Saccharomyces cerevisiae S288C: one gene and its partners. Changing the gene in region 1 together with any one later gene gives a genetic interaction. Each region holds a gene or a part of one and is shown in the gene's direction. Other genes may lie near its edges.

Evidence for each region. Genes that interact genetically often act in the same process or in processes that back each other up.
Region 2: mutations in NMD2 (region 1) and ATG32 together harm fitness more than expected from each alone (negative genetic interaction), as found in Saccharomyces cerevisiae (2 studies listed by BioGRID).
Region 3: mutations in NMD2 (region 1) and TIF1 together harm fitness more than expected from each alone (negative genetic interaction), as found in Saccharomyces cerevisiae (3 studies listed by BioGRID).

The regions. Positions count from the first base shown.
Region 1 is NC_001140.6:249,832-259,861, reverse strand, and holds NMD2 (Nmd2p), read left to right. Parts: upstream 1-4,105; coding exon 4,106-4,111; intron 4,112-4,224; coding exon 4,225-7,488; downstream 7,489-10,030. Other genes in the region: bifunctional endoribonuclease/protein kinase IRE1, read left to right, coding at 1-1,618; YHR078W (uncharacterized protein), read right to left, coding at 1,844-3,502; type 2C protein phosphatase PTC7, read right to left, coding at 7,637-8,613, 8,707-8,761. UniProt on the Saccharomyces cerevisiae protein: Involved in nonsense-mediated decay of mRNAs containing premature stop codons. It interacts, via its C-terminus, with NAM7/UPF1.
Region 2 is NC_001141.2:71,525-77,313, reverse strand, and holds ATG32 (mitophagy protein ATG32), read left to right. Parts: upstream 1-1,540; coding exon 1,541-3,130; downstream 3,131-5,789. Other genes in the region: pantoate--beta-alanine ligase PAN6, read left to right, coding at 31-960; SLN1 (histidine kinase), read left to right, coding at 3,861-5,789. UniProt on the Saccharomyces cerevisiae protein: Mitophagy-specific receptor that recruits the autophagic machinery to mitochondria and regulates selective degradation of mitochondria.
Region 3 is NC_001143.9:553,281-558,833, forward strand, and holds TIF1 (translation initiation factor eIF4A), read left to right. Parts: upstream 1-1,706; coding exon 1,707-2,894; downstream 2,895-5,553. Other genes in the region: glycogenin glucosyltransferase GLG1, read left to right, coding at 1-1,340; UTP30 (Utp30p), read left to right, coding at 3,238-4,062; mannosyltransferase KTR2, read left to right, coding at 4,397-5,553.

The DNA.
Region 1 (10,030 bases):
GGAAATCCCCATAGTTGAGTCGAAATCGCTAAATTGTCCCTCTTCATCGGAAAATGTAACCAAGCCATTCGATATGAAATCAGGGAAGCAAGTTGTTTTTGAAGGTGCTGTGAACGATGGAAGTCTAAAATCTGAAAAAGATAACGATGATGCTGATGAAGATGATGAAAAATCACTAGATTTAACCACAGAAAAGAAGAAGAGGAAAAGAGGTTCGAGAGGAGGCAAAAAGGGCCGAAAATCACGCATTGCAAATATACCAAACTTTGAGCAATCTTTAAAAAATTTGGTAGTATCCGAAAAAATTTTAGGTTACGGTTCATCAGGAACAGTAGTTTTTCAGGGAAGTTTTCAAGGAAGACCTGTTGCGGTAAAGAGAATGTTAATTGATTTTTGTGACATAGCTTTAATGGAAATAAAACTTTTGACTGAAAGCGATGATCACCCTAACGTCATACGATACTACTGTTCAGAAACAACAGACAGATTTTTGTATATTGCTTTAGAGCTCTGCAATTTGAACCTTCAAGATTTGGTGGAGTCTAAGAATGTATCAGATGAAAACCTGAAATTACAGAAAGAGTATAATCCAATTTCGTTATTGAGACAAATAGCGTCCGGGGTAGCACATTTACATTCTTTAAAGATTATCCATCGAGATTTAAAGCCTCAAAATATTCTCGTTTCTACTTCGAGTAGGTTTACTGCCGATCAGCAAACAGGAGCAGAAAATCTTCGAATTTTGATATCAGACTTTGGTCTTTGCAAAAAACTAGACTCTGGTCAGTCTTCATTTAGAACAAATTTGAATAACCCTTCTGGCACAAGTGGTTGGAGGGCCCCAGAGCTGCTTGAAGAATCAAACAATTTGCAGTGCCAAGTCGAAACGGAACACTCTTCTAGTAGGCATACAGTAGTTTCATCTGATTCTTTTTATGATCCGTTCACCAAGAGGAGGCTAACAAGATCTATTGATATTTTTTCTATGGGATGTGTATTCTATTATATCCTATCCAAAGGGAAGCATCCATTTGGAGATAAATATTCACGTGAAAGCAATATCATAAGAGGAATATTCAGTCTTGATGAAATGAAATGTCTACATGATAGATCCTTAATTGCAGAAGCTACAGATCTGATCTCCCAAATGATTGATCACGATCCGTTAAAAAGACCTACTGCTATGAAAGTTCTAAGGCATCCGTTGTTTTGGCCAAAGTCGAAAAAATTGGAGTTCCTTTTAAAAGTTAGTGATAGGCTTGAAATTGAAAACAGAGACCCTCCAAGTGCCCTGTTAATGAAATTTGACGCCGGTTCTGACTTTGTAATACCCAGTGGAGATTGGACTGTCAAGTTTGATAAAACATTCATGGACAACCTTGAAAGGTACAGAAAATACCATTCATCAAAGTTAATGGATCTATTAAGAGCACTTAGGAATAAATATCATCATTTTATGGATTTACCTGAAGATATAGCAGAACTAATGGGGCCGGTACCCGATGGATTTTACGATTACTTCACCAAGCGTTTTCCAAACCTATTAATAGGTGTTTATATGATTGTCAAGGAAAATTTAAGTGACGATCAAATTTTACGTGAATTTTTGTATTCATAACATGTTCATGCCCCTCTGCTTCTTCTTGGTTGATTATTGCATTAATGTTACTTTGATCATTAGTAGTAACCATCCATAATTTTTACGCCCTTGCATAAATGAAAAAAAGTTGTACTTCTTCATGAACCTATACTACTTTTCTCATCCCTACATAAACTACCCGACAGACATTTAATTTTATAAATACATATCTCATAAACATCGAACATCGACATACTACTCCAGTTATTCAACACTGACTTTTTTGGTGGAAAGCTTTCGTTCTGCAATTCTTATGCAAATAAAGGTAAACACACATGCAAAAGCGTAGACTTCATCAAACCAAGAATCTATGACAATGTTTGGGACGGTAAACTTTCCACCCAATAGCTCCTTTAATCTTTGTGATACTTCAAAAGGGAGATGGGACCTAACCATTAGCGTTGTAGCCAAAACGTAGACGCCAGTCAACTCTGACACCACCAGATTTTTTATCAAAGATATTCCTTTTTGTTCCTGAGAATAGTTTCTCTTTTTTCCCTTATAGGAAGAGTTATTGGTGTACTCTGGAAGTACATTAGCAGTGTCATCATTCTGCATGGCGAAAAGTGCAAGAATCTGGAACTTTATGGGCAAAAGGGTCACAACGTAGGAGATGGTGGTATTGACAGCAGAAAGACAGCAAAGAAAGAGAGAAATTGACAAAAATAACGATATCTGTTTTGTTAACGAATCGAGATCGTGCTGGTAATTGAACCTGAAAAACGAAAAATCCAAAATATTTGCTATCGTAATGGCTAAAGGATCGGATGCTGCATTTTCACTAAAATTTTCATAATCGTAGTCATCTGGATATTTGAGCGAGTGGTATATGATATAGGGGATTCTTTTCAGGAAAGTTATTATTAGTTTATGAAGACAGTATATGATAAACCCGACTTCAAAAGCTTTCTTAAAAGTGCGTACCTGAGGGGACTGTTGTAATAATGCTTCCAATTTCCCAAGCTCCAGTTGATACCAGGCGATTTTTTCCATCAACTCTGCTTTAAAAGTTGAGTTTTCTCCGACCTCTTCTTCTAAACTTCTTAATATTTGTACATTTTGTTCAATGTTGTGTTCATAATCTTGGATTTTTTCCTCTATATAGGCGTCTGTTGTCCATAAGAGAGATTTACTGTTATTGTTGCTGTTGTTGATGTTTCTAAAACTGGGGTCTGACATTGGTGTATTACGAAACTTGTGCCAGATGACTAAAAAGTTGTAGTATAAACTAGAAACAGTGGCTAACCCAGATAGGGAAGCCATGACTGTGACGCCTCCGATGGACAATCTAGTTAGAATATTTTTTGTGTACTGGAACGGTCCAATATTTATGTAACTTAACAGCGCAATAAGTGTGGACAAGATTATGCATGTCACTATTATCAACCTATCGATATCGAACTTGTCATTGTAGAATTTATTCAGTAACGATATTATAATGAAAAAGGGCTGAAATAAAATTAGTATGAAGGATAGCATGATTGCAGTCAGAGGCCACACCCAAGTCGTTATGAAAGTAACTTCCTTGTCCATTCCAGCAACCTTAATCTGCCATAGAATAATCTCTATGGTTACTGTATACGTCATCATTGCTAATGAAAAAAGGACTCGCAGTGATTGCAGTACCTTATGTGAGGGTAAAGAATACTCTGTGTAGAATTTATTTATGAAATTACCCATACTAGACACATCCTCATTCGAGCCAACTTCCATTTTGCTTGCCAACGGAATGACATTTTTCTTCGAGGAAGTTGATATAATGTCAAACAAAGACCCTACTTTAAACCAGAGCCTTTCATAGGAGCATTTGTAAGCAAATGCTCCGGATACGGAAAGCACTATAAATACGATAAGTGCCTCCATCCCGTCCACCACTTAGTCTACACTCAATAGTCCTTTCTAGTGCAGGTCCTGGAGGCAACCGCCAGAGTTGAGATCTTTTCCTTTTCTTTCCCTGCTGGTCAATTTTTATTGTTCAGGACTCGGTCATCGCAGATATCGCAATTTTTCACTCGTTTGAGTCTAGACTGTAAAATAAAACCGAATGGTTAAGCTAAAATAGACTCTGTATGACTAAGTCGTTCACTAAAGTTCATTATTTCATGCCTGAATGACCTTTATCTTAATTATGCACCATCATATAGCGTTTCTATGATCACTACGGGATATTATGATATTGTTAGGGGGTTATATTGAATATTTCTTAGGGCATGAGGATGATATTAGGGTTATTAATAGGTTTACAATTATATAATTTATGTGATAATTATCACTTGATACGAATTGATGGAGCCTGCTTCTTTTTTTTTTTTTCACTTTCTTGGCAGTCACTGAAAAACTGCATTCGAATACAGGTTTGAGAAACTAATGAGGCCCATATTACTTTACAATGAACAGTAACAATCAACTTAAATGCTTAAATAATCTAATATTGTATCTGCATTGATAATACATTGGACAGAAATTATGGACGTATGTTTGATTTATCTTACTGTGGCCAGATCGGCCTTTCAGTACTTCTAAGGTTTTATACTAACTTCTTTTATTGATCGTTGTAAACTACGGTAACAATTATGTATCAACAGGATGGACGGAAAAAAGAATTGCATGATTTGAACACCCGAGCTTGGAATGGCGAAGAAGTCTTTCCCCTGAAAAGTAAAAAACTGGATTCCAGTATAAAGAGAAACACTGGCTTTATAAAAAAACTAAAGAAGGGTTTTGTGAAAGGTTCAGAATCTTCATTATTGAAAGATTTAAGTGAGGCGTCCTTGGAAAAGTACCTATCAGAGATAATAGTGACGGTAACAGAATGTCTGCTAAATGTTTTGAATAAAAATGATGACGTAATTGCCGCTGTTGAGATCATAAGTGGACTTCATCAAAGGTTCAATGGCCGATTTACTAGTCCGCTTTTAGGAGCTTTTTTACAAGCTTTTGAGAACCCCTCTGTTGACATTGAATCCGAAAGAGATGAGCTTCAAAGGATAACCAGAGTTAAAGGTAATCTTCGGGTATTTACCGAGCTTTATTTAGTTGGAGTTTTTAGAACATTGGATGATATTGAGTCGAAAGATGCTATTCCAAACTTCCTACAGAAGAAAACTGGGCGAAAGGATCCGTTGTTATTCAGTATTCTCAGAGAGATTCTTAATTATAAGTTCAAATTGGGCTTTACTACCACTATTGCGACCGCATTTATTAAGAAATTTGCACCTTTGTTTCGCGACGATGATAATTCTTGGGATGATTTAATATATGACTCGAAGTTAAAAGGTGCGTTACAGTCTCTGTTTAAGAATTTTATAGACGCCACTTTTGCGAGGGCCACAGAACTGCATAAGAAGGTCAATAAACTGCAAAGAGAACATCAGAAATGCCAAATAAGAACGGGAAAATTGAGAGATGAGTACGTAGAGGAGTACGACAAGTTACTTCCAATATTCATTAGGTTCAAGACATCTGCAATTACTTTGGGAGAATTTTTTAAGTTAGAAATTCCGGAGCTTGAAGGTGCCTCTAATGATGATCTGAAAGAAACAGCTTCTCCAATGATCACGAATCAGATATTGCCACCCAACCAACGATTATGGGAAAATGAAGATACAAGGAAATTTTATGAAATCTTACCAGATATCTCAAAAACAGTAGAAGAATCACAATCTTCTAAAACAGAAAAAGATTCAAACGTTAACTCAAAAAATATCAATCTATTCTTTACGGATTTGGAAATGGCAGATTGTAAAGATATAATCGATGACCTTTCAAATAGATATTGGTCATCATATTTGGACAACAAAGCCACAAGAAATCGAATATTGAAATTTTTCATGGAAACACAAGATTGGAGCAAACTGCCAGTGTATTCCAGATTTATTGCAACAAATAGCAAATATATGCCGGAAATTGTTTCTGAGTTTATTAACTACCTAGACAATGGCTTCAGGAGTCAATTACATTCTAATAAGATTAACGTTAAAAACATCATCTTCTTCAGTGAAATGATTAAATTTCAATTAATACCATCGTTTATGATTTTTCATAAGATTAGAACATTAATCATGTATATGCAAGTTCCAAATAACGTAGAAATTTTGACGGTTTTGTTGGAGCACTCAGGGAAATTTCTGCTAAATAAGCCAGAATATAAGGAATTAATGGAAAAAATGGTCCAACTAATCAAGGATAAAAAAAATGATAGGCAATTGAACATGAACATGAAAAGCGCCTTAGAAAACATAATTACTTTACTTTATCCCCCTTCTGTAAAATCATTAAATGTTACGGTAAAAACAATAACGCCTGAACAACAGTTTTATCGCATATTAATTAGAAGTGAACTAAGTAGCCTAGACTTCAAACACATTGTCAAGTTGGTTCGGAAAGCTCACTGGGACGATGTAGCTATTCAGAAAGTGCTGTTTTCTCTGTTTTCAAAACCACATAAGATTAGCTATCAAAATATTCCCTTATTAACAAAAGTTCTAGGCGGTCTATACAGTTACCGCCGCGATTTCGTCATCAGATGTATAGACCAAGTACTGGAAAACATTGAGCGAGGCTTAGAAATTAACGATTATGGACAAAACATGCATAGAATATCAAATGTCAGATACTTAACTGAAATATTCAACTTTGAAATGATAAAATCCGATGTTTTGTTAGATACTATCTACCACATTATTCGGTTTGGTCATATCAACAATCAACCCAATCCATTTTATTTAAACTACTCAGATCCACCGGATAATTATTTCAGGATTCAACTAGTCACTACAATTCTGTTAAATATCAACAGGACCCCTGCAGCTTTTACTAAGAAATGCAAACTTTTGCTGAGGTTTTTCGAGTATTATACTTTTATTAAAGAACAACCTTTACCCAAGGAAACAGAATTCAGAGTTTCAAGCACATTTAAAAAATATGAGAATATTTTCGGAAACACTAAATTTGAAAGGTCAGAAAATTTGGTAGAAAGTGCCTCAAGGTTGGAAAGTTTACTGAAATCATTAAACGCAATAAAAAGTAAAGACGACAGAGTGAAGGGATCTTCTGCAAGCATTCACAACGGTAAGGAGAGTGCTGTTCCTATCGAGTCAATCACCGAAGATGATGAGGATGAAGATGATGAAAACGACGATGGTGTCGATTTACTAGGAGAAGATGAAGACGCGGAGATAAGTACACCGAACACAGAGTCAGCGCCAGGAAAACATCAGGCAAAGCAAGACGAAAGTGAAGATGAAGACGATGAGGACGATGACGAGGATGATGACGATGACGATGACGATGATGATGATGATGGAGAAGAAGGCGATGAGGATGATGATGAAGATGATGATGATGAGGATGATGATGATGAAGAAGAAGAAGACAGCGACTCTGATTTGGAGTATGGTGGTGATCTTGACGCAGACAGAGATATTGAAATGAAACGAATGTATGAAGAGTACGAGAGAAAACTAAAGGATGAGGAAGAAAGGAAAGCGGAAGAAGAATTGGAAAGGCAATTTCAGAAAATGATGCAAGAATCCATAGACGCAAGGAAAAGCGAAAAGGTTGTTGCCAGTAAAATTCCAGTAATTTCGAAGCCAGTCAGCGTTCAAAAACCTTTATTATTAAAAAAGAGTGAAGAACCTTCTTCAAGCAAGGAGACCTACGAAGAGTTATCCAAGCCAAAGAAGATTGCATTTACGTTCTTGACTAAAAGCGGTAAGAAGACACAATCAAGAATTTTACAATTACCAACGGATGTGAAATTTGTCTCTGATGTCCTTGAAGAAGAAGAGAAACTAAAAACCGAGCGAAACAAGATTAAAAAGATTGTTTTAAAACGTTCTTTCGACTGAGATTCTTTTGCGAATATAGTTCTTTAAATTTTTACTATATATGCCCACTTATGTTTGGCTCTATTAAATGGCTACGTGTTTATATAGTACCGTTTATGACGCTGTATTTTTATTTACACTGCTTTCCAGGAGATTAAAGAGCGGAGTGTTAGTCAACTCTCACGACAACAACAGTTATATCGTCTTCTTTACCACCGCTGTAGTTTTTGCCAGTTAGCTTAGAAATCTCTTGCGCAAAAACACTGGGGTAATTGGGGTCCTTGCTTAAACTGACAACATTGTCCACAAACTTCTGGGATAATAGCTGTAACTCATCGTTTGTTCTCGCAGCGTTATCCTTCAGAAAAAGCTCAATATCATCTGTGGCAATATTATCGGTTACACCATCGGTAGCCAATATAATAATATCCTTTTTTTTCAATTGGAAGCTATATTCATCAGCGTCTCTGGGGGTGTTTAAAATATACTTGCTACCCCTTCTTTCGGCCTCTTTCAACATTTCTTCTGGAATGATTGACAATTGGTAAGGAGCATTAAATCCAACAGTTTGAAACTTTGTCTGGAATACAAGTTTAGAATCTCTGAAGACTCCACACCAAGAATCACCCAAGTTGGCAACTTCCAATTTTCCATTAGATGGGAAGTGAGCCACAATGGCTGTTGTCCCACCAACCTTCACTACTTTCTCATCCCTAATTTTTGCGTATGCAGCACCAATAATTTTCTTTGGCGTTAAAAGCGTTTCTTTGGATGAATTTTCTGCTAAAGCAGTGCTTATTTCGTCCATTTTTTTACACAATTCTCTTGAGATGGCGCTGGAGTCATACCCATGCTCAGCCCATCCTCCAACACCGTCTGCGACACCGGCAAAAATATCGTGAACGTTGTTTGATGTAACAAAATAGTTGTCTTCTCCTGTAGGTGATCTAATAGAATCCTTTAGTTTTTGGTATATCAGATCGTCTCTGTCTTTTGGTTGGAAAGCTACCGCGGTTTTATAGGTGAACGGGCCTGATTGGCTACCTGAACTATACGCATCACCATGACTGTTGTTCGATTGATACCCACTCTTGGCACTTGAGTAAAAAGTCCTCTTGGAAAAGCTGATGATTTGACTGCAGGATCCTATGATATGAGAAAAGTTAGTCTCTGAGTCGATTAGCATTTGTCCCGCAAATTTAGCAATTAGCACACCAATGAATAAAACAATAAACATACCATAAAGGGGACCTCTCGAGACCCTCAAAGTTCTAAATCCAACGTTTGCAAACATTTTTGGTGGCTTTGTCGTTTGTTTTCTGGACCGCTTTTATTGCATGTGTCTTTTACATTTGTTTACTGTCAAAATGAAGCTCGCGTGTAAATTTGTAGATTGATTACAGAAAGATGTAGCTGAAACCAGCCAAGAAAGAACAATTAGCACATCTCATTTTATAGAGCCTCAGTTTCTGTCGTACGACTGTTGCAAAATATGTAGGTGGAAGTGGATTTTTAAATTACGTTTAAAACGTAGATTGCGAGTCACTGAATGGCAGCAAGCTTATTAAAATGATTAATTTCTAATTTTATTGTGATATAGGCAACTTTGGATAGAGGAAACAATGAGCCGTAAGAGTGCTAGTTACTGTTTTCGCACCGCCGCAATCGTATAGGTGCGTTAATGGCAGTTTAAAAGCTAATACTGCTTACATGAATGTCAACGGCGCCAGCATGGTCAAATAACCGGCAATATGTCCTGCTTCAAAGTTAAATAGTTTGAAGTATTTAGTGCAAAAGTGCCATCTTCTTTCTGGGGAAAGTTTTAAAGATAACATCGTTATTGGTGTAATTTTGAACAACTGCATGATCATGAGTTTACTTGAGAAAGATGGCTTTATTTACTGAAAATCTGCTACTGAATAGAAAGCGCTCTTAAAATCAAAAGGAGAAGAGAACCAAGAAAAAAATTACGCAGATTGTGCCAATTCCAAGATGAGCTGATGCACGATATTTGCAGAAATTTATAAAATGGAAAGATCTGCAAAATATCACGAAGACATCAAAAAATACGATCTTTACACCCAAGGTATTACAGTCTTTGGGTAATGAAATTATCAGATTTGATGGAGGGCTTTTGTGATAATCCTTCTAATTCATAACAAGAACTTTATACGGTACACATGTGGAGAAACAATTTCCTTACTTAGATTTCTTAAAATGAAAGATTTAAAACACATAGAGGAAGCTCAATGGCCGACGCCAACTCAGGATGACAACGGTTTGTTTGTGAATTTGGATGTTTCAAACTCGGATCAAAAAATTCACAACATAATTGAACGGTTGGTCAGGAGAACGAAGAAGTTTTTACAAAGGCTCAAGTATAAGGAATGTCCTGCGCAACGTAATATATACCAGAAGGTCAATCCCAGCCTTGACGTAGTAATATGCCCTTAAACCTCCAGAAAATTCCCCCAATATAAAGTATTGCCGGGAAACAGCATATATACTTACAACAAATAGAATCGTTGGCACCGACATTGAAGTGGACTATGTTCCCCTATGA
Region 2 (5,789 bases), on another chromosome or scaffold:
GTTTTTATACTGCATATCCATATAGAATTGATGAAAATCTTCCATACTGTCGAAGAAGTTGTTCAATGGAGAACACAGGAGCTGAGGGAAACTAGATTTAGAGAAACTATTGGGTTCGTTCCCACAATGGGTTGCCTGCATTCGGGTCACGCTAGTTTGATCTCGCAGTCTGTGAAGGAAAACACCTATACTGTGGTCAGTATATTTGTAAATCCCTCCCAGTTTGCGCCAACGGAAGATCTAGATAACTATCCTCGAACTTTGCCAGACGACATCAAATTGCTTGAGTCGTTGAAGGTGGATGTTCTATTTGCTCCTAATGCACACGTGATGTATCCACAGGGAATTCCGCTCGACATAGAAGAGCAGAAAGGCCCTTTTGTTAGTGTTCTTGGATTGAGTGAAAAATTAGAGGGGAAGACGAGACCTAACTTCTTTAGGGGCGTGGCAACTGTCGTGACTAAACTATTCAATATCGTTATGGCGGATGTGGCTTATTTTGGGCAGAAGGACATTCAACAGTTCATTGTTTTACAGTGTATGGTGGACGAACTGTTTGTTAATACAAGGCTACAAATGATGCCTATTGTAAGAAACAATAATGGACTGGCTCTGAGTAGTAGAAACAAATATCTTTGTCCAGAGTCTTTAAAGATCTCTGAAAACCTTTACCGCGGGCTGAAAGCTGCGGAAAATGCTATTAGGAGACTAGCACCAGGGGGACGTCTCTCCAGATCAGAAATCATCGATACTGTGACTCAAATATGGGCACCCTACGTTGATTCCCACGATTTCAAAATCGACTATGTTTCCTTAGCAGATTTTAAGACTCTTGATGAACTCTCCGATGTTGAAAACACCAGCGAACAGCAGCCAATAGTCATTAGTTGTGCTGTATACGTGACTGACCGCGAAAAACCCGATACGGTCGTCAGACTAATAGATAACATCGTTATTTAAACTAGGTGATTGGGCCTTCCCGTGTCTGTGTTGCAGTATATACCACTCTTATACAGTATGCACGATATTCTTTTAAACCAACAACGGGATGATAGATTTCACGCTTGATGACTTTTTTTTTAGACGGCTGAAGGGACGACATCCCCATCGCTCAAAACACAAATATGGAAAGGACAAATCGTCTTTCACAGTTTGCATAGTAAAAGCAAAGTTTATACTACTTCAGCAAAGTTGAAGTTGTTTGGCACTTGTTTCGTGCTTTCTCAAATATCTTAGATCACCGTCTGTCTAGAGCATATATCTATTGTTTGACGCACCCCTTTTACAAAAAAAAAAAAAAGAAACAGATCTATTAAGTAATAAAAAAGTTATTTAGGAAATAAGGTGCAGTAAGCTTCCTGAGGCATAATCATTATACTTTTAAAATCTATATTTTTGGGTTATTGTTGAAATATTTTCTTACAAAGCCCATTTCTCGTTTTTGACAATTTTTCTTATCAGTTGTGACTTCTCTTATCGATAAGCAATATTGAAGTCCTAATCACAAAAGCAAAAAAAATCTGCCAGGAACAGTAAACATATGGTTTTGGAATACCAACAAAGGGAAGGTAAAGGATCCTCATCTAAAAGCATGCCACCTGATTCCTCGTCAACGACTATTCACACATGCTCTGAAGCACAAACTGGGGAAGACAAAGGCTTACTTGACCCTCATCTATCAGTATTGGAATTGTTGAGTAAGACAGGGCATTCGCCTTCGCCAATGGGACAGAACTTGGTTACGTCCATTGACATATCCGGCAACCACAATGTAAACGATAGTATATCAGGATCGTGGCAAGCCATTCAGCCTTTGGACTTGGGCGCTTCTTTCATCCCAGAAAGGTGCTCTTCTCAAACGACTAATGGAAGTATTCTATCATCTAGTGATACTTCTGAAGAAGAACAAGAGCTGCTTCAAGCGCCTGCTGCTGATATAATAAATATTATTAAACAAGGACAAGAAGGAGCAAATGTCGTTTCACCGTCTCATCCCTTTAAACAGTTACAGAAGATAATATCGCTGCCCTTGCCTGGTAAGGAAAAAACTCCTTTTAACGAGCAAGATGATGATGGTGATGAAGATGAGGCTTTTGAGGAAGATAGTGTGACGATAACAAAAAGCTTGACTTCTTCGACAAACTCTTTTGTTATGCCCAAACTATCACTAACACAAAAGAATCCAGTTTTTCGCCTTCTAATACTGGGAAGGACTGGTTCCAGCTTTTATCAATCAATACCAAAAGAATACCAATCTCTTTTTGAATTACCCAAATATCACGATTCCGCAACATTCCCGCAATATACGGGGATTGTCATAATTTTTCAGGAGCTGAGAGAGATGGTATCTCTGCTAAACAGGATCGTTCAATATTCTCAAGGCAAGCCTGTAATACCGATCTGCCAGCCTGGGCAAGTCATCCAAGTGAAAAACGTCCTGAAGTCATTCTTAAGGAATAAACTTGTTAAATTATTGTTTCCTCCAGTTGTTGTGACCAACAAAAGAGATTTGAAAAAAATGTTTCAAAGATTACAAGATTTATCCTTGGAATACGGAGAAGATGTGAATGAGGAAGATAATGATGACGAAGCTATACATACAAAGTCTCGGTCCTATTGTCGTAACAAAAAAGCCGAAAACTCAAAAAAGAAATCCCCTAAATCGAATAAAAAACCCAAGAGAAAGAAGCAGAAGTTCTTCACGAGCTGGTTCACTTGGGGCATTTCAATTACTATAGGAATTAGTTTTGGATGTTGTGTGACATACTTTGTCACTGCAGCATACGAACACCAAACAGTTAAGTCTTTAAGTTTGCGGCCCTCCATATTGGCCTCTTTACTTTCCTTAGATTCCTCTAGCGACACAATCAATACGCCCGCCACTGCATCTCCTTCTTCAACTGAGCAGTTTTTATGGTTTGATAAGGGTACGCTTCAGATAAACTTCCACTCCGATGGATTCATTATGAAAAGTCTTACCATAATCAAGGAGACTTGGGGCAAAATGAATACTTTTGTCTTGCATGCTCTTTCTAAACCTTTAAAATTTTTGGAGAACCTTAATAAAAGCTCTGAATTTTCCATTGATGAATCTAATCGGATTTTGGCACTGGGTTATATTCTATTGTAACCTTTTTCCAATATACACAAACATACACGTTCCTACTCACTTTTTTACTATCACTTCTGTTTCTCTCACTGCGTATCTATATTCCCCGTTTGGTTCCTTTCCTTAATTACATAGAAGCTTATCAAATATGAAAATTCTTTCATTATACAGGCAATTTTTTGTTTGGTTTCATAAATACATAAACAAACAGCTTATAAAATATTTCTTCTGTTAGCAAATTTAAGTTTCTTTATATATTCCTTACTTTCGCGTCTCAACACAAAAAAACAATTAAAAATCAACCATAGCGCATAGAGCGTATTCCGACGACTTCAAGGAAACTATCGCTGTAAATGTGAATGCATTTAGAAGTTACTATTATCGCCTTTGACATCATATTTGAAATATTCTACCTTCATGTACTTAAACGCCCAAATTACCCGATCTTTTTGCGCCGCGCGTTAATATTTCCTCTTCGCATTTTTTAGTGATTATTACTACATAAATTTGGGATTAATAGTTCATCGAAAACAGCACGAACAAAAGCCAACTCACTACATTTTAGCAGATTCCGTCCGGAGTTTTGATTCTGTCCTTGTTTGTTGTTTTCCATTTCCTACTACGAATTCTATAAAGACAGGTAACAGCAGTGGAGAAGATCTTATAGATCTATCATCCAATTATAATAAGCATAGAATTGAAATAAGAACACGTTGGGTATAATCTACTTTGTTTTGATTTAACAATACAAATGCGATTTGGCCTGCCATCAAAATTGGAACTCACTCCTCCGTTTAGGATAGGCATCCGAACTCAACTAACGGCACTAGTTAGTATAGTGGCTTTGGGCTCACTGATTATTCTGGCTGTAACGACAGGGGTCTATTTTACCTCGAACTATAAAAATTTAAGGTCCGATAGACTGTACATTGCCGCTCAGTTAAAGTCATCACAGATTGACCAAACTCTAAACTACTTATATTACCAGGCGTACTATTTGGCATCAAGAGACGCCCTGCAAAGCTCACTAACAAGTTACGTTGCAGGTAACAAGAGTGCAGATAATTGGGTAGATTCCTTGAGTGTGATTCAAAAATTTTTGAGCTCTTCAAACTTGTTTTATGTTGCTAAAGTTTACGATTCTTCATTTAATGCTGTTTTGAACGCTACGAATAATGGAACTGGTGATCTAATTCCAGAAGATGTTTTAGACAGTTTGTTCCCATTATCCACCGATACACCGCTACCTTCTTCACTGGAAACTATAGGTATATTGACGGATCCAGTACTAAATAGCACCGACTATTTGATGTCTATGTCTTTACCTATTTTTGCCAATCCTTCTATTATCTTGACTGATTCAAGGGTTTACGGATACATTACTATAATAATGTCGGCAGAGGGTCTGAAAAGTGTGTTCAACGATACAACTGCTTTAGAACATTCCACAATTGCCATTATTTCTGCAGTATATAATAGTCAAGGCAAAGCTTCAGGGTATCATTTTGTCTTTCCACCGTATGGATCACGATCAGACCTCCCGCAAAAAGTTTTTTCTATAAAAAATGATACATTCATTAGTAGCGCATTTAGAAACGGGAAGGGAGGGTCTTTGAAACAAACCAATATCCTTTCTACACGGAATACTGCTTTAGGCTATTCACCATGTTCGTTTAACCTAGTTAATTGGGTCGCGATAGTTTCACAGCCTGAGTCGGTTTTCCTTTCTCCAGCAACGAAACTAGCAAAAATCATCACCGGCACTGTCATCGCTATTGGTGTCTTTGTCATTTTGTTAACCCTTCCTCTAGCACACTGGGCAGTGCAACCAATTGTACGTCTACAAAAGGCAACTGAATTAATTACAGAGGGGAGAGGCCTTCGACCGAGCACCCCAAGAACGATAAGCAGAGCCAGTTCATTCAAAAGAGGATTTAGTTCTGGATTTGCTGTTCCTTCTTCGTTATTACAATTTAATACTGCTGAAGCTGGCAGCACCACAAGCGTAAGTGGCCATGGAGGCAGTGGCCATGGCAGTGGTGCAGCTTTTTCAGCAAATAGTAGCATGAAAAGCGCTATAAACCTTGGAAATGAGAAAATGTCACCTCCAGAGGAGGAGAACAAAATACCGAATAACCACACCGATGCTAAAATATCAATGGATGGCTCGCTAAATCACGATTTGCTTGGACCACATTCCTTGAGACATAATGACACTGACAGAAGTTCCAATAGATCTCACATTCTCACAACTTCTGCAAATTTAACTGAAGCTAGGCTACCAGATTATAGAAGACTATTTTCTGATGAACTTTCCGATTTAACAGAAACCTTCAATACTATGACAGACGCATTAGACCAACATTATGCTCTTCTAGAAGAAAGAGTTAGGGCGAGGACAAAACAACTCGAAGCTGCCAAGATTGAGGCAGAGGCCGCAAATGAAGCAAAAACCGTCTTTATTGCCAATATTTCGCACGAATTGAGAACGCCTTTAAATGGTATTCTGGGTATGACGGCTATTTCAATGGAAGAAACCGATGTTAACAAAATAAGAAATAGTTTAAAACTCATTTTTAGATCAGGTGAGCTTTTGCTTCATATTCTAACGGAATTGTTAACTTTTTCCAAAAACGTTCTTCAAAGAACGAAACTGGAGAAAAGAGATTTTTGCATTACC
Region 3 (5,553 bases), on another chromosome or scaffold:
CATCCGTTTTACAAAATTATATTTTTGAAAACACTTCAATTGATGGTTCTGACCAGGGCATTTTAAACCAGTTCTTCAATCAAAATTGTTGCACTGATGAGCTAGTTAAAGACAGTTTCTCTCGAGAATGGGTACAGTTATCATTTACGTATAACGTAACTATTCCTAATTTAGGCTACCAATCTTCACCTGCTATGAATTACTTTAAACCTAGCATTAAGTTGATTCATTTCATTGGGAAACACAAGCCATGGTCATTGTGGTCCCAAAAGAATTTCATTAAAAACGAGTATCATGATCAATGGAATGAGGTATACGAGGAATTTAAGGAAGAACATCAATTAAATAACGAAGTTTCGAAGCCAAAGATTAGTGATTCCGATAAAACTGAGACTCCTGAAACGATAACCCCAGTGGATGCCCCTCCATCGAACGAACCCACTACGAATCAAGAGATCGACACAATTAGTACAGTGGAAGAAAACGTGGACAACCAGAACGCCGAGCCTGTTCCTAACTCGGATCATAGCCCTGCTCCTAACCCTGTCCCATTGGATTTTACCAAGTGGTTAACAACCTTTATTAACAAAGATCACTTGACTAATCAGCCAGTAAATGAAAGCAGAGAATATTCGAAAGAGAATGATAACAATATAATCAATAGCAGTTCAAACCGCGACCAAGAAAGTCCTCCAAATAGTACTCAGGAACTAAACAGCTCTTATAGCGTTGTGAGTACTCAAGCTGATAGCGATGAGCACCAAAATGCAGAAGAGGAGGATAGTACGACAGATAACGCTTCAAATTCTGGAGAAGAAAGCCACCTCGATGATATAAGCACGGCCGCTTCTTCCAATAACAATGTAAGTAATCAACCAGATGGCAAAAATTTTAGCAATTCTAAAGAAAATAATATCAGTGTCGAATCTAGCCCTTCAAATCCAGAACAGAAAAGGTCAACTGACAATATACAAAAACCAAGTGTTTCTACTAATGACTTACCAGACGACGTAGAACCACATACCTCTGTTGATGACAATATACAGTACTTAGAAAAAGACAAGGAAGGTTATGAAGAATTTCTTCCGGACGTGTACGAGTCAAATGCAATCGATAACGAAGAAGAATTTTTTGATGACGATGCAAGAGATGCTACCGAAGGAGAAACGAAGACGAGTGCAGTTGCAGATAAACAGGAGGATATGAAACTTACAGCAGAGGAAACCAACCAACCGCAACAAGAAATGCCCAACTTCAAATTTGACTGGGAGGACTCTGATTATCTATCCAAAGTAGAGAGGTGTTTCCCTGATGATATTTTTGAGTATGCAGTAGAGTAAACTTCCACGCACATATTAGGAAAATTAAAAGACATATCTATGTAAAGACCTTTTCGACTATACAAAAATGCATAACTATTCTATATACATTCAAACTCGAAATTTACTTTAAAGGTTTATCAGCAACAACATCCGATGCTTGCTGTTTATCTTTTCTCACCTCACAACGTTTATAGTGACTGAAAAATTTTTGCATTCTCACCTCGTCTATTGAATGATGTGCTAAGAACTTGAGCTAACATCACAGAACAAAGGTATGAATATACGCAGCCCTGACATTTGTAGATTTTTTATTTGGTCTCTAGTCTTTTCTTTTCTTATTTTATAACAAATTCGTTAAACGGCCTCCTTCTAATTATATACAAGATGTCTGAAGGTATTACTGATATTGAAGAATCCCAAATTCAAACCAACTATGACAAGGTTGTCTACAAGTTCGATGATATGGAATTGGACGAAAACTTGTTAAGAGGTGTTTTCGGTTACGGTTTCGAAGAACCATCTGCCATTCAACAACGTGCCATCATGCCTATTATTGAAGGTCACGATGTCTTGGCTCAAGCTCAATCTGGTACTGGTAAGACCGGTACCTTTTCCATTGCTGCTTTGCAAAGAATTGACACCTCTGTCAAGGCTCCTCAAGCTTTGATGTTGGCTCCAACTAGAGAATTGGCTTTGCAAATCCAAAAGGTTGTCATGGCTTTGGCTTTCCACATGGACATCAAGGTCCACGCTTGTATCGGTGGTACTTCCTTTGTTGAAGACGCTGAAGGTTTGAGAGATGCTCAAATCGTCGTTGGTACTCCAGGTCGTGTTTTTGACAACATCCAAAGACGTAGATTCAGAACTGACAAGATCAAGATGTTCATCTTAGATGAAGCTGATGAAATGTTGTCTTCTGGTTTCAAGGAACAAATCTACCAAATTTTCACCTTACTTCCACCAACCACTCAAGTTGTTCTATTGTCCGCCACCATGCCAAATGACGTCTTGGAAGTTACCACCAAATTTATGAGAAACCCAGTTAGAATTTTGGTTAAGAAGGATGAATTGACTTTGGAAGGTATCAAACAATTCTACGTTAATGTTGAAGAAGAAGAATACAAATACGAGTGTTTGACCGATTTATACGACTCTATCTCCGTTACTCAAGCTGTCATCTTCTGTAACACCAGAAGAAAGGTCGAAGAATTGACCACTAAGTTAAGAAACGACAAATTTACCGTTTCTGCCATCTACTCTGATTTACCACAACAAGAAAGAGACACCATCATGAAGGAATTCAGAAGTGGTTCTTCCAGAATTTTGATCTCCACTGATTTGTTGGCTAGAGGTATCGATGTCCAACAAGTTTCTTTGGTTATTAACTACGACTTACCAGCTAACAAAGAAAACTATATTCACAGAATCGGTAGAGGTGGTCGTTTCGGTAGAAAGGGTGTTGCCATCAACTTTGTTACTAACGAAGACGTTGGCGCTATGAGAGAACTAGAAAAGTTCTACTCCACTCAAATTGAAGAATTGCCATCCGACATCGCTACTTTGTTGAACTAAGGGAGACAAAAACTTCTTAAAAAAGTATCTTGTGAGGCTATCTTGATAACGTAACATATATTTCTAAAAAGTTATATATGCTTTTTGTATTTAATTTGTTTTTCTTTTTACATTCCTATTATTCTTCAAAGTCCAAAAGACTCTCGGCACGAAGGTTGAAATACCCTATACTAATTGTTTGCTTTGTCTTTTTGTATATATCCGAACGTATCTATCTGAAATTTTTCAAATTTATAAAAAATAATATATATAAAAGGAAAAAAAAAAAAATCGATGCCCTACTAATAGAGATTGGAGCTGAAAAGAAAAAGTGTACATCAAACGCTATATCTCGAGGTTTGGGATGGTTGAGTCAAATGATATTATAAAAAGTGGGCTGGCAGAGAAAGCACTAAAGGCTCTAATTTTACAATGTGAAGAGAACCCATCTTTAAAAAATGATAAGGACATACACATAATCATCAACACGGGCAAAAAAATGGGCATAAACAGGGACAACATCCCCCGTATTATTCCATTAACAAAGTACAAGCTATTTAAACCAAGGGACCTAAACATATTACTCATTACCAAGGATCCCTCTGCCTTGTATAGAGAAACTTTGACGAAAGACGAGCATACGTCGGAATTATTCAAGGAAATTATAAGTGTCAAGAACTTGAGACGTAGATTCAAAGGGAGTAAACTGACCCAACTTTATAAAGATTTTGACTTGGTCGTTGCCGATTACAGAGTTCACCACTTACTTCCGGAGGTTCTTGGTAGCAGATTTTATCACGGTAGTAAAAAATTGCCATACATGATCCGCATGTCGAAAGAAGTAAAATTGAAGCGTCAACAAATGGTCGAAAAATGTGACCCCATTTACGTGAGAGCACAATTGAGAAGTATATGTAAGAATACCTCATACATTCCCAATAATGACAACTGCTTAAGCGTCAGGGTCGGTTATATTCAAAAACACTCCATACCAGAAATTTTGCAAAACATCCAAGATACAATAAACTTTCTCACTGATAAAAGTAAGAGACCGCAAGGCGGCGTCATTAAAGGAGGAATAATATCTATATTTGTCAAGACCAGTAACAGTACTAGTTTGCCTATATATCAGTTTTCAGAGGCTAGAGAAAATCAGAAAAATGAAGATCTGAGTGATATTAAATTGTAAAATTAAAGCATCATCTTTTAAATACGGTATTTAAACACTCCCAATGAAAAAGCGTGATTTTGTCTAACTAATTATAGCATTAATAAAGTGTTTTAAACTTTAATTCCTTTCAAGAATTTGCAAGATTATAGAAATTTAGTAAGCGAAAAAAAAAAAGAAAAAAAAAAGAACAGACACCCTATAAAAATAGAATAAACATAATAAGCCACCATTTGCCTGTCTGATGATATTCTTGATTCTTTATATCTCTTCAGGTATGTGACACCTATACATGCAACGCTTTTTTTGCGTTTTTTCTATACAATAGTTGTTTATTTAAAAGCGTAGGAGCTTCATGCAAATCTGCAAGGTATTTCTTACACAGGTTAAAAAACTACTTTTTGTTAGTCTTCTATTTTGCTTGATAGCTCAAACATGTTGGCTTGCACTTGTACCATATCAGAGACAGCTGAGCCTAGATTCGTATTTTTTTAGAAGATCTCGAGAAGTTTCATCGAGATATGATTTTACAAGGAGGCGACATATGAATCAGACGCTGAAGCTATCTAGCAACACTTATAATGATGAACCACTAAACAAGACCAAGGGAATAAAAAATCAAAGAGAAAATGCTACATTGTTAATGCTTGTGCGTAATTGGGAACTTTCGGGGGCACTCCGTTCCATGAGATCACTAGAAGACCGTTTCAATAAAAACTACCAGTATGACTGGACATTTCTTAATGATGTCCCATTTGATCAAGAGTTCATCGAAGCCACCACAGCCATGGCTAGTGGTAGAACGCAATACGCTTTAATCCCTGCGGAGGACTGGAACAGGCCATCTTGGATCAACGAAACTCTATTTGAAGAGGCTTTACAATTAATGGAGGAAAAAAATATCTTGTACGGTGGGTCAAAGTCATATAGAAATATGTGCCGATTTAATTCTGGATTTTTCTTTAGACAAAAGATATTAGATCCGTACGATTTTTATTTCAGAGTTGAGCCAGATGTAGAGTATTTTTGCGATTTTCCCTACGATCCATTCAAGGTGATGAGGCAGAACAATAAGAAATATGGCTTTGTGATAACTATGTATGAATACGAAGATACAATTCCGAGCCTATGGGAAGCTGTAGAAGAATATCTCGAAGAAACAGAGTCAGCAGATATTGACATGGAAAGCAACGCTTTCGGGTTCGTATCAAATTTCGACTTCATCGGTAAATCTTTTGGTGTCATCGATAGTAACAGCGGCTATAATTTATGTCATTTTTGGACAAATTTTGAAATTGGCGATTTGAACTTTTTCAGAAGTGAGAAATACATTAGATTTTTCGAGTACTTGGATTCAAAGGGCGGTTTTTACTATGAAAGGTGGGGAGATGCACCAGTTCATTCGATTGCTGCCTCACTTCTTTTGAAAAAAGACGAAATCATCCATTTTGATGAATTAGGCTATAAGCATATGCCTTTTGGCACGTGTCCATCTGCATACTACCTGAGACT